Linked DNA regions of Coturnix japonica. The protein of the gene in region 2 interacts with the protein of the main gene of each other region in a biochemical or structural test. Links are inferred from orthologs where the notes say so. Each region holds a gene or a part of one and is shown on either strand. Other genes may lie near its edges.

Evidence for each region. The genes of interacting proteins can lie anywhere in the genome.
Region 1: the proteins of RP2 (region 2) and ARL3 form a complex in vitro, tested with the Homo sapiens proteins (2 studies listed by BioGRID). The link is inferred for Coturnix japonica from reciprocal best matches to the Homo sapiens genes RP2 and ARL3.

The regions. Positions count from the first base shown.
Region 1 is NC_029521.1:20,420,881-20,426,895, forward strand, and holds the start of ARL3 (ADP-ribosylation factor-like protein 3), read right to left. Parts: upstream 3,977-6,015; 5' UTR 3,860-3,976; coding exon 3,857-3,859; intron 1-3,856. Other genes in the region: SFXN2 (sideroflexin-2), read left to right, coding at 4,410-4,570, 4,819-4,989, 5,360-5,458, 5,597-5,672, 5,746-5,831. UniProt on the Homo sapiens protein: Small GTP-binding protein which cycles between an inactive GDP-bound and an active GTP-bound form, and the rate of cycling is regulated by guanine nucleotide exchange factors (GEF) and GTPase-activating proteins (GAP).
Region 2 is NC_029516.1:117,346,419-117,352,344, reverse strand, and holds the start of RP2 (protein XRP2), read left to right. Parts: upstream 1-1,839; 5' UTR 1,840-1,984; coding exon 1,985-2,107; intron 2,108-5,926. UniProt on the Homo sapiens protein: Acts as a GTPase-activating protein (GAP) involved in trafficking between the Golgi and the ciliary membrane.

The DNA of each region.
Region 1 (6,015 bases), on a different chromosome or scaffold from region 2:
TAGCCCACCCCCTCCCTGCCCAGGCTCCCCACTGCCATGGCTGTAGTCAGACCTTCACCTCCTGGCCCTTTCCAGCCAGCTCATGAGACACGGAGGTGCCGGTTCCATTCCCCAGCAGCACACAGTGTCTCTCTCTGTCCTCTAGCCCCTCTGTGCCTCCCCTACAACCGTGGGAGAAACTTCACCCAACACCCACAAAGCGGCCCACGATTCTCTTGCTAATTCTGCCTCTGCCACACCTACAGTCCTCCAGGAGGTTCTGGCAGTGAAGGGGCCAAGTTCAAACCTGCCTCGAATTCACTCTCCTCCTATCGCTCTGTTATCTCTCACCACGGAGGGGGAACGTCTCCTTGTTCTGCGCCCCAAGCACAGCACAGCCCTGCTCACCACCGACTTTCAGCAAGCAATGCAGCAGCAGTTCACCATTTCTAAATAGATGAAGGCAGTGGGGACAAGCGGTGCTTGGGGAAGGACAAGAGGTTTTGCTGAGCCCAATCTCCTGCTTTCAGCAGTGGATGTTTGAGGCTCCATTGGCAGTTCAGAGTGTGGATCTGCACATACGGAGCTGGAGGAGGGGAGCGGGCCTGACAACTGCGCTGATTAGCTGGTGCCCTGAAGAATGACGTTTGATTACCTTTATCTTCGGCTGCAGAACTGCAAATGTCACTAATGGTCATAAAATCACCCAGCCTTTTTCAAAACACAACCGAAGTAAATTAATCTATTGAGCACGGTTTATTCAATACTTCTTACTCTGGCAGAACTCCCAACGAAATCATTTGCTTGCTGCATGTCTCCACCATATGGTGTCATTCAATGCAGACTTTCTTTTCTGTGCTGAAATCCCACATTTATTGGAGCCGAGTCACCTACAGAGCTCTTCCAGCTCAAACCTACTAACACAGTTTTCTGTCAAAGAGGTCACACGGCACTCGCTCTCTCGGTGCATTAACCAACACCAGCATGAGTTCTCCTTTCATAATTAAAATCAAACTCCTCTGCTCTTTGCAGACTTCAAGGAAGCGCTCTGCCCTGTGCAGGGCATTGCTGATGCCTGCCGCTTTGTCTCCCCTTCAGCAGTGCAGTACTTGGAAACCTCCTCCAGTTGTTGGTATGCTGCACTCCCTGCACATCGTTTCCCATAAAGCTATCGCACAACCAGTAAATAAATGAAAGATGTGTGACGTGCAGCTCTGCTAGGAAACTGGAGCAGCAGAGCACTGCTATAGCTTTGGAAAATGGTTTGTTTTAATGGGGTCGGTTGGGTACAGCCTCCATGTCAGACAAGGGGCAAAAGGAAAATTCTGAGCAGTACAGGCAGCAACACTTGCTGCTTTTGTTACAACTGGGAGCTCGAGGCCAGGAGGAAGATGTCTGACTACACGTTTTGCTATGTCGGTCCTTCATTCTCTGACCAAGATCTGCCTGGTGTCATCCAACCGCTCCGTGACTCAGTTTCCTTGGCTGCACAGTGGGGCCATGCATTGACAGGCCTGGATTGATGCAGCAGTGTCATCTTCAGTCAACAGCTTTAGAAGAACTCAGGTCGTCCCCCAGCCCTGCTACCCATCAGCAACAACCATCTCACTTGGTGTAGACAAGCAGGACGCAAGCTCTGCTTCACACAGCACTTCCACAACTCTTGAAGGCTGCTCACCCTTTCATGTAACATCTCCCTTCACTCTTGCTGTGAGCCCAGCACACGTGCTGCTCAACCGAGCCAAAGCCTTCAGCGCCACGCATCTCTCATGCTATGCATTTTTATGGCTCATCTTTCCCTCTGTGCTCCACCTACGACCTTCCAGCACCCCTGCCTCACAGCTGTGAGAAATGCTGGTATGCTCTGCAGAACAAGACACTTCCCCTCTGCGCTTACTCGGATGAGCAGTGAAATAATTTAAACGTCAGCATTAACCATCTTACCACTGGAATGGGAGCAAGCAGAACTGCTGCCCAGCCCAGCCAGTCCTTTACCCACACCATTTGAGAGGCTACAACTCCAAGAACTCTCAGAAATGAAAAATAGACTAGGAAGCATTAAAATGCTGTAGCAAATAGCACAAGCACTGGAAAACACCCAGTCCACCCTCCCCGTGCACAAAGCGCTCACATAACAACAGCCAGATCCCAGACTACACCAGTTTATCAGGACATCACAAAGCAGAAGAGCAGATTTGGCTGGTAGCAGCTGCAGGCCAAATGTGTCCCACAAAGCTGCTGGAGGCAGCTGCCTTCATCTCCACAGCAGATGTCCATCCTGTGATGGCTTTGGTGCCTGGTGTGACAAGCTCCATCATCGCCTGATCTAAAATACAGCAGGTCTCACAGTCTTTATCTCAATCTCTTTCTCTGTGGCACGGCAGGTGGGGATGCAGCCAGCATCAACTCAGCAAAGATGAGGAGCTGCCTTTGCTGTTCTCACTTATGCCTCCTCCTGTGCTTTAATACAGCTTGAATCCAGGGGGCTCCTGGACAAAACACAACTTTGCCCTACAGAAGCTCTTTCCCACATGACCATTTCCTTCAGCCTGGGCTCTCTGCACATGCTGTACCCCAGCTGCAGCTCCCCAGCCACCCCTCTGCTGATCCCCACTCATCCTTTCCTGACAGTCCTTGACGGATTCCACCAGCATCTCCCATCCCACCCCAACTACTGCAGCATCCAGCACCCAAGTCTATCACTCAGCCCCACCCTAACCTGATACAGGCAACATTTCACCCTCACCACACATCTGTCTCCCAGCGATGCCCTCTGTCCTTACCAGACCCTTCACAGTGAGGCTCCAATTCCTCTCAGTGAACACTGCTCCCCGTCAAATACTTTGTTTCCACACTTGAGCATTCCTTTCCCTTCTGGTTCGTCTCTTTCTCTCACTAGCACCAAAGTTCCTCTACTCCTTCCCACAATGAGTTCTTCTCTCTTCAGCCTGTGCTGTCCCCATTTCCTCAGCCCATGGCAGAAAACCCAAGAGCACTCAAATCCCAGCAACCCATCCTAGCCAGCCAACAGTGACTGGCACGGTACAGTGATCCCCCAAACTGGTCATCCCACCCTGGTCTCTCCCAGTCCCTGGGCAGTGTCTCAGCCCAAACACCCAGCTCCTTCACCCAGGCTTCTTTGCCAAGACTGAGCTCCCCTTTTAAGGCTATTTATCAACAGCCCTTCCAACTCTGCATGCCCTCCTGGAGCTCCCTCAACTTCTGCAGCCCCCAGGAACCAGCACAGGACGGATGGGTTGGAACGGATCTTAAAGCTCACCCAGGGCCCCATCCAAGCTGGCCTTGAATTCCTCCAGGGATGGGGAAACCTTCTCTGGGAAGGCCACACTGAAGCCATACTGAACAGCCGAGTTCTCCAGGCCGAACACGCGCAGCCCCTCAGCCTGTCTCCATAGGAGAAGTGCTCCATCCCTCTGAGCATCCTCGTGCTCCACTCCAACATCCCATGTCTTGTGCTGTGGCCATCACCACCACCATCACCACCACCACCACCACCCCCCCTTCCCCCTGGTTGCCCTGTCCATGGTCCTTCCCCGGTCACAGCTCCCCCAGCACTCGGTGCTCGGTCGCTGCCCCCATCACTGCCGTGTCCCTTCAGCCCATCCTCCCTTCCATCTCCCCTCGGGCCAACGGTGCCTCTGCGGCTCCGCTTCCCCCCGACCCCACGCATCCCCCCACGCCCCGACCGTCGGGCCGGACGCCCCAAGGGCCGAGCGATCTCCTCCGACCCGACCCACGCGGCCCGTCCCTGCCCACCCAGTCTCCCCCGTCTCCCCCATGTCCCCGATCTCCCCCCGTTCCCCCCCATGTCCCCGGTTTCCCTCCAGGCCCGGCCCGCCGCCCCCGCCCCGCTCACCATCCTCTACGCGGCAGCGGGGTTACCATGGGCAACTGCGTCACACACACGCCGCCGCTACGTCGCACGTCACCGCTTCCCGCCGGACGTACGGAGCGCGCGCGCGGGGCCCGCGGGAGGGGGCGGGGCCAATCGTAGCCACGCCCCCATCCTGAGAGCACGCGGCAGGTGGGCGCGGCCTCTCGGCTCGCTCTGATTGGCTGAGGGCGGCCACGCGGCGCGCCAAAAGTTTGGGTGCCGCGCAGGTAGGGACACGTGGGGTGGGGGCGCGGGTTGAGTGGGGACTGCGCGATGCGATGCATTGCAATGAACGTCACCGGGTGGCTGTGCAGCTCCACGGGTGTGCAGTCAGCAGCCTTGAAGGGGGGGGGAATGCGGCTTAGCACCGTTGGAAGCGTGCATGCCGTGGGGTGTGTGCGGTTATCAGTGTGCAGTGCAGGAGGCCGGCGGCAGCAGCGCCTCGGGTCGCTGAAAGTCCAAGCCAGCTGTTAAATATAAACCCGCAGCAGTTGACTCGGTGCAGCGCTCCGCAGCAGCACGGCGCTATCCCAAAATGGCTGCTGTGCCCCTCGGCTTCGACATCGATGCCCCGCGCTGGGATCAGAGCACCTTCATGGGGCGGCTGCGGCACTTCTTCAACATCACCGACCCGCGCACTGTGCTGGTGCCGGAGGGGGAGCTGGACCGGGCGCAGGCCGTGGTGGCAGGATGCAGGTGAGCACACAGCTGTGGTGCTGGGGCTGTGCCTGGCACCTGCCCGAGCGCTGGTGCAGCATCTGAGCACCCTGATGGAGCTGTAGATGTATCTGTTTGTAGCAGGAGAGTTGGGCTAGATGACTTTTAAGGGGCTCTTCCAACTCAAAAGATTCTATGATCCGTCAGAGGTGTTTTTGTGGGTGTTTATTGGGGTTTTGGGAGCCCTGAGCTATCGTGGCTGAGCTGCTGTGACTTCGGCCTTTCAGGGCCGGGATGGTGCCACCGGGGAGCAGCCAGGAGCAGCTGCTTTATGCCAAGAAACTGTACGACTCGGCTTTCCACCCTGACAGTGGTGAGAAGATGAACCTCATTGGCAGGATGTCCTTCCAGGTGCCGGGTGGCATGGCCCTCACTGGCTGCATGCTGCAGTTCTACCGGTGAGAGCTGGGGACACAAGTTGGGACACAGCCTGGATGGCCCTCAGCTCCTCTAGGGGCTCTAATGCTATGGGCTCAGGAGTGGGTTGCTCTCACACACCTCTGTCCCCATGAGCTTGCTGCATGCATCACTGAGGGCCAGGTGGATCTCATTCTCATCCCAAACCCCTCAGGGCTATGCCTCCTCCTGTGCTGTCTGCAAGACCCTCTCATACACATTCATTTCCCAGCCCTGCCCCTGCTTCACTCCTTGACTTCAGGCTGCCGTGCCTCAGTTTCCCCCAGCAGACACCAGGACAAGGGTACAGAGGGCATCTTATCTGTTCCCTGATGGCACCTGGGTGCTCTGCGGGCCCTTTTCCCTCTGCAGGACAGTGCCAGCTGTGGTGTTCTGGCAGTGGGTGAACCAATCTTTCAACGCCATTGTCAACTATACCAACCGCAATGCTGCGTCCCCCATCTCTCTGGCGTAAGTGTGCCCCTGTGATGGGACACCTGGTGCCTGTGGGATGCACCAAAAAGACATTCAGGCACCAAAGGAAGAGGATCTCAGTGTCAAAGGCAGTGTTTTATTTTATATTTCCATGCATCTGTTGCAAATCACCAGGCAAATAGGAGTGGCTTACGTCACAGCCACCTCAACAGCCCTGGCCACTGCTGTGGGACTCAACCTCTACACCAAGGTACGTAGGGATGGGGTTGCAACAGCTCCTGGCCGCATCCCACCCCATGCTGATCCCATCCTTTGTCCTGCAGCGTGCTCCTCCCTTGCTTGCCCGCTGGGTCCCTTTTGCAGCCGTAGCTGCTGCCAACTGTGTGAACATCCCAATGATGAGGCAACAGTGAGTGCATCTGGGGTCTGCCTCTGCTCCCTGGCCCCAAGGGAGGATGGGAGAGGTGGGATGGGATCTGTGTGATCACTACCCTGCATCTGGGAGAGAGTGTCCCTGGTGGGGTGGCCCAGCATTGAACAAAGCAGGAGGGTGGTTTGGGGGTGAAGATATCCCTTTTGGAGTCTATGATGTC
Region 2 (5,926 bases):
AGCTGAGATTTTAGGGAACAGTAGTATTGAAGTCTTTTTGTTTTCACAGTCTTCCTAATCTTCATGTCTTACAGGAGAAGTTTTCGACTTCTCTATAACCAGCAGGATGTAAAAGCTGCTTTAAACAAGACATTCTGCAGATTTTTCACAACGATACGATCCCAAGAGCTTTAAGAACATGCACACAGAACACAAGGAGATTGTGCAAGTTTGGCTCTGCGTGTTGTGGTGAGCTGCCAGCAGTGCAGAGAGCCAGACTCTGCCCAGTGTTACGAGGAGTGCAGATGGGCACGCTGCGAGCTTTCGCTTCCTTCACTACCTGTTTAAGACCTGGGCAAGCTTCCAGCTTCCAGTATTTGCTGAGGATAAGCCCCTTCCCTGTACCTTGAGGTGATACATGGGAGTGTCAGAAAAAAGAAAGGGAAGAAGTTGGGATCTCTGCACTGCGAAGCTGTGCAGGGATGGAAGCTGGCACAAAAGGCATGGATATGCCAAGCTGCTGCACCAAATCTTTTATGACATAACCTCTACAATGAAAATGTCTTATTTTTCAGTTACCTAGAAATTGCTAGCTGGGGATCAGAAAGCTCCGTATTACAGTGTAATTAGGTGTATTTCATAACATCCCCAGGAGGGAAGTCACTAATTACAGCAGTTTGTTGAAATTAAAGTAAGTATAATAATGCTTGGTAGTGACTGCGGTGTTACTGCAATCTTATATTACTACACTTCAGGCTACAATCATATCAAATCTCACAGGCCAAGAGGGTTGAGTCTGCCTGGCATATGAATGGGGAACGAAGAACTGAGCCAGGCATTTGCAATTTCTGAAGAAGTCATGTGCTCATAAGCCATATTAAATTGGTCTGGAAGAAATATCCTGGTGCTTTGGTGTCAGGAAACAGCCTGAAGGTTTGGAGATAAAAAACTAAGACCTGTCCCAATCTGCTGTAGCCGTATAAAACCCTGATTTCTTGTGGTACTGATGATTTTGCAAGACAAGGATATGTATCATGATAGGGTGGAAAATGGGCATCAGTCACCCCTTGCCTTAGCAGCTATTTCAGCCCTTTCAAAGAGTTTACTCCCCTCCTGGGAGTAAGTTCCCTTCAGGTATTGAAAGGCTGAAGGGAACTTACTCCCAGGAGGGGAGTAAACTCTTCAAAAGGGCTGACAATAGCAGGACACCGGGAAATGGTTTTAAGTTAAAAGAGGGAAGATTTAGGTTGGATGTTAGGGGGAAGTTCTTCACTAGGAGAGTGGTTAGGCCCTGGAACAGGCTGCCCAGGGAGGTTGTGGATGCCCCGTCCTTGGAGGTGTTCAAGGCCAGGTTGGACGGGGCCCTGGGCAACCTGATCTAGTAAATGTGTATGTTTGGTGGCCCTGCCAGGCAGGGGGGTTGGAACTACGTGATCCTTGAGGTCCCTTCCAACCCGGGTCATTCTGTGATTCTGTGATACTTCTGGCCTGTGGGTCTGCTTCCTCTTTTCTGCTGGCCTGGGCGTGCTGAGCTCGATTAAGAACACTTCCCTGCTGCTTTTACAGCTTTCCCTAAATCAAGTTTACTTTGAGCGTGATGGCAATTGCTAAGATTTCTCCCTCAAACCCAATACAGGGTTTGAATTTTGGGTGGTCCTGTGTGAGGCCAGGGGTTGAAGTAGGTGATCCTCGTGGGTCGCTTCCACCTTGGGATATTCTGTTCCGTTAAAATCGGGACAAAACGTCTCAGAATGACGGTAGTCTCACGTAAAACACGACTTTGTCCGCACAAATCTCCCCGCCTCTCCGGGCCTCCAGTTGTCGCGGTCGCTACGGGAGACGAAGGCGGGCGGTGCAGGCGGAAGCGGGGCGGGGCGGTGAGGCGCTGCGCTGGCGCTGGGTCCCGCACGGCCTCTCCCCGCGGGTCGGGCTGGGCCGGGCCGGGTCGGGCGGTTCCAGTGGACGCGAGGCGGTTTTCGGTTGCCGGGGAGGCGGTGGTGCCGCCATGGGCTGCTTCTTCTCCAAGCGCAGGAAGCCGGCGCAGGGCGGGCAGCAGCAAGGAGCCAGCCAGGAGCCGGCGGCCGGCGAGGAGAAGGCGCCGCAGTACAGCTGGGACCAGCGAGCCAAGGTACGGGGCGGAGGGAAGGGAGAGCGGAGTGTGGTTTCCTGTCAGGCTGTGTGCCGGCAGACTCGGCTTCGTCCTCGCCTCGAGGCAGCCTGACCCGTTAGCATGGAGAATACGCTCTCGGTCCGGTGTGATCTTCGTTGTCTGGGCCCCCAGACCTTTAGGCCGTGTTGTCCAAGTGTCAAAAGGAAGATGTGTGAGCTCATGTGAATGCTCAGCTCGCTTGTGTTTCTAAACTTAGTGAGGTGTTCCGGGTTGGTTCCTAAGGCTTTCAAGTGGATTAAGAAAAGCTGTGTTGGAGATGAGCGAGGGACTGTGTGGTGTAGCCTTTATCCTGAGGATAAAGAGGGCTGAGCTGGACTGGGCTCGTTGTTTTGTAGGGTTCTTGTGGAGGCTTCTTATGGTGAGAGAGCGCTGTACTGAGAACCTGCCCTAGAGTAAGTACAGTGAGTGTGTGCCAAAGTACGTAACTAAATGAGCATTCAAAACGATATGACCTAATCACAGAGCACATTCATCAGCTAAAGGTTAACTCGTACGAGCCTTTCTACATGCTGTTTTACTTACATGGCACTAACTTCTAAAACTGTGTAACAGGTGGAAAACTGGGGTACAGACACACTCGACTGGAAGGGCAATGAACCTTGTTGCTGTGGAGGTGGCTGTTAGCATGTGGGGAGCAGGATCGAGCTAACGTGAGGTTTTATAGTGAGAACAAACTCTCACTGTGGGGAAGCATGTAATGTGTTGCATGTAGAACTTCCTCCCTGTATGAAATACTCAGAAAAACTGGAAGAATCAGTAAGTTTGGGCTGTTCTACTGAACTGCAGAAGCCATCAAATTAGCTCCTTACTTTGGTACTACATAGATCAAGAATATTTATGTCATGAGCCAGACCATTTCTTTTGCTCTCTGCAACCTTACTTTTGTCTTTAACTACGAGCTTGGTACATTAAACCAGCAGAGCAGAGCTGAGATGCTGACTTTTAGGCAAGGGAACACTGAGCTCTTTCTGCACTGCATTTGTTGATCACAGTCTGTGTTAAGTGTTCGTGTGGTAGCTTTAGGTATTCTCTCAGACACATTATCTCTATTGCTGGTTCATTCTTTTTTATGCAGCACACATAAGCATACTTATTCATTCCACAATTTGTATTCGACAGCAAAGTTTGATTGGTGGCAGCTGGAAAACTTGTGGCGCTGGGGCTCCTTGATCATCAGATTTGTGTTCTGAACTCTGAAAACATCAACTCAGTCAGAAGATGTGAACTTTAAAAGCCATTAGCGTTTCCTGTTACTTTTAATACGAGCATGTCAGGAGTGAAGTGTGTTCTAATTTCAGGCTATTACACACAGCGATGCTGTTCTGGTTATGTAGTGCAGCGCTGCAAGCAGAGTGCAAATGTCTACAGTTTGTTCAGGATATCCAGTGTACATTATTACAGATGGATAAATCTCACTGCACAGAGGCTCCAGTTGTCTTCCTGTTAATTCAAGCTATGCTGACATACTTAGTGTAGGCAGCACAACATGGGCACACCGGGCGCAAGTGGTAGAAGTGCCGCTCTGCTACACAGGAGGTTTGAATCCCGGGGGTTGGACTCGATGATCTCTAAGGTCCCTTCCAAACTGCATGAGACTGTGATACTGTGTGTGTGTGCATGATTGTCTGTACAGGGATGTGAAACGAAGTGACTGCTAGTTGACAGCTGTGCTGGCAGAAGCTCTGAACTTGAGCACTTCTTCCAGCAAAGTTATTTCTTCCACTTCTGAAGCACAGCATTGTTAGTGTAGGCTGTCCTAATTGTGTTCTTTGGGGGAAAAAAAAAAAAAAAAAAAGATTACTGCTGGTGTTGTGTAGCTGAAGAGTAGTATGACAAAGACTTTGTGACCATATAACTCCAGTGTAATAGCCCTGGTATTGGACCATATTGTATAAAATTAAATATGAAATGCTTTGAGATGCTGTTAGATTACTTGAAAGTAAGGAAAGACATGAAGAACTTATTCTGAAAACAAAACGTGTTCTGTTTCTTGTTTCGATGGGATTCTTAGTCCAGATAAATAACTAGGAGAGTGGTTAGGCCCTGGAACAGGCTGCCCAGGGAGGTTGTGGATGCCCCGTCCTTGGAGGTGTTCAAGACCAGGTTGGACGGTGTAGAGAGTGTTTTTTACAGCTAGCTGAGAAGGGTCGTAAACACGGTGCAGTTAATCAAGCAGCCATGCCACCTGCAAGGACAGTGAGATCAACAGGATGCCCTGGGATGGTGAGAAACTAACCATGGTTTTGTGAACTCGGCAAGGGAGTAACTTTCAGGATGATAACAACAAGCTGCAAAGATACTCGGGGATGGTATGTAATTGGGAACCAATGATGAGCTCCGCTTTTGCAATATGTATGAGCTAATTATCTGTATTATAAAGGTACACGCAGCCAAGGAATAAACGAGAATAGCTGATCATATGTCAATGACAGGTGTGGTTGTCTGCTTTTCTCCCGCCGTTCTGCAACAGGACGGGGCCCTGGGCAACCTGATCTAGTAAATGTGTGTGTTTGGTGGCCCTGCCAGGCAGGGGGGTTGGAACTACATGATCCTTGAGGTCCCTTCCAACTCGGGTCATCCTGTGATTCTGTGATTCTGTGATAGAGCACAGCCTGTTACAGACTATTTTCACTACGTAACATCCTGGAGACTTGTCATATCCCTTTCTGGCCAAATGCGAAAGAGGAACTTGGTGATGCCAGAATCACCTTGGCCTTCAGCTATAATTTCATCTACAACACAAGACTGCACTTCTGGTCTTGGTCTCCCTTTTCCTTTCCTACCTTTCTGTATTCTTAGTGGCTAAGCAGCATTGGCATACAGAACCGGAATAATAACTACAGCAATAGCAAAAAACCAACTAAATGAAAAACCAAACCACAACCAAAGAAGAGAACCTCACAAACAGGTCTTTAACTCACCACATAAATCACAGTTTTCTGTTAGTTACTTCACGTTTGGTGATTCTGCTGCAGTGCTCTGAGCTGATAAGGTCTTCTTGCATTGCCTACGTCTCTTTCACATGACGTTTTTATACTTTATTTTTGAACAAATAAAACACCACTTTAACCTTTTTGATTAGTCTGTAACTAAGCAGTGGGAGGAGGTGTCCTGAGATCTGATACATCTCCCTTAGGCTTCTTAGTGCACCAGAAAAACTACTGCCGTGTTTCTCAAGATGTGATCTACCAGTTGAGAAAGTCAACGGGTTAATATTGAAAAGATATTTTCAGTTAAGGCTGATGAAAGTGTGTTGTAGTCCCCTTCCCTTCCCTTCCCTGCAGTATCTGGCAGCAGTTTGTTGCTTAGACAAGTCTGCCCATGTCTGTTCTACGCTATTATTGGTCCTCTGAAAGAAGGGAAGGATTCTGAAGGATAGAATGAAACATGTCTTTTGGCTGTTATATTGGTTGCATTTAAAGTCAAAGTGTACTGGAGATGCTCTGAGATGAAAAACTGTATGACAGTGGCTAGAATCTGCAGATCTTGTCCCGCTTTCTAGTTTTTGTTACTGCTGGGAACCTAGAAATCAGGCAGAGGTGAGTAACTTCAACTAACACTTTCTCTGGGGGCTGTTGCAATGCAGTGCTGAAGGGCACCAATCCCATTTCAATCTGATAGTGAGGCATTGCCTAGGCCTGGAATGCACTTCTTTTGCTTCCTTTCTTTTAATTCCCCCATTGACAAAAATAGCACATAAATCCTCTTAAGTCTGTGTGCCTGCCCTATCACTGCAGCTTTTGATGTCACTGTGTCAGCAGCCAATTCTTACATACT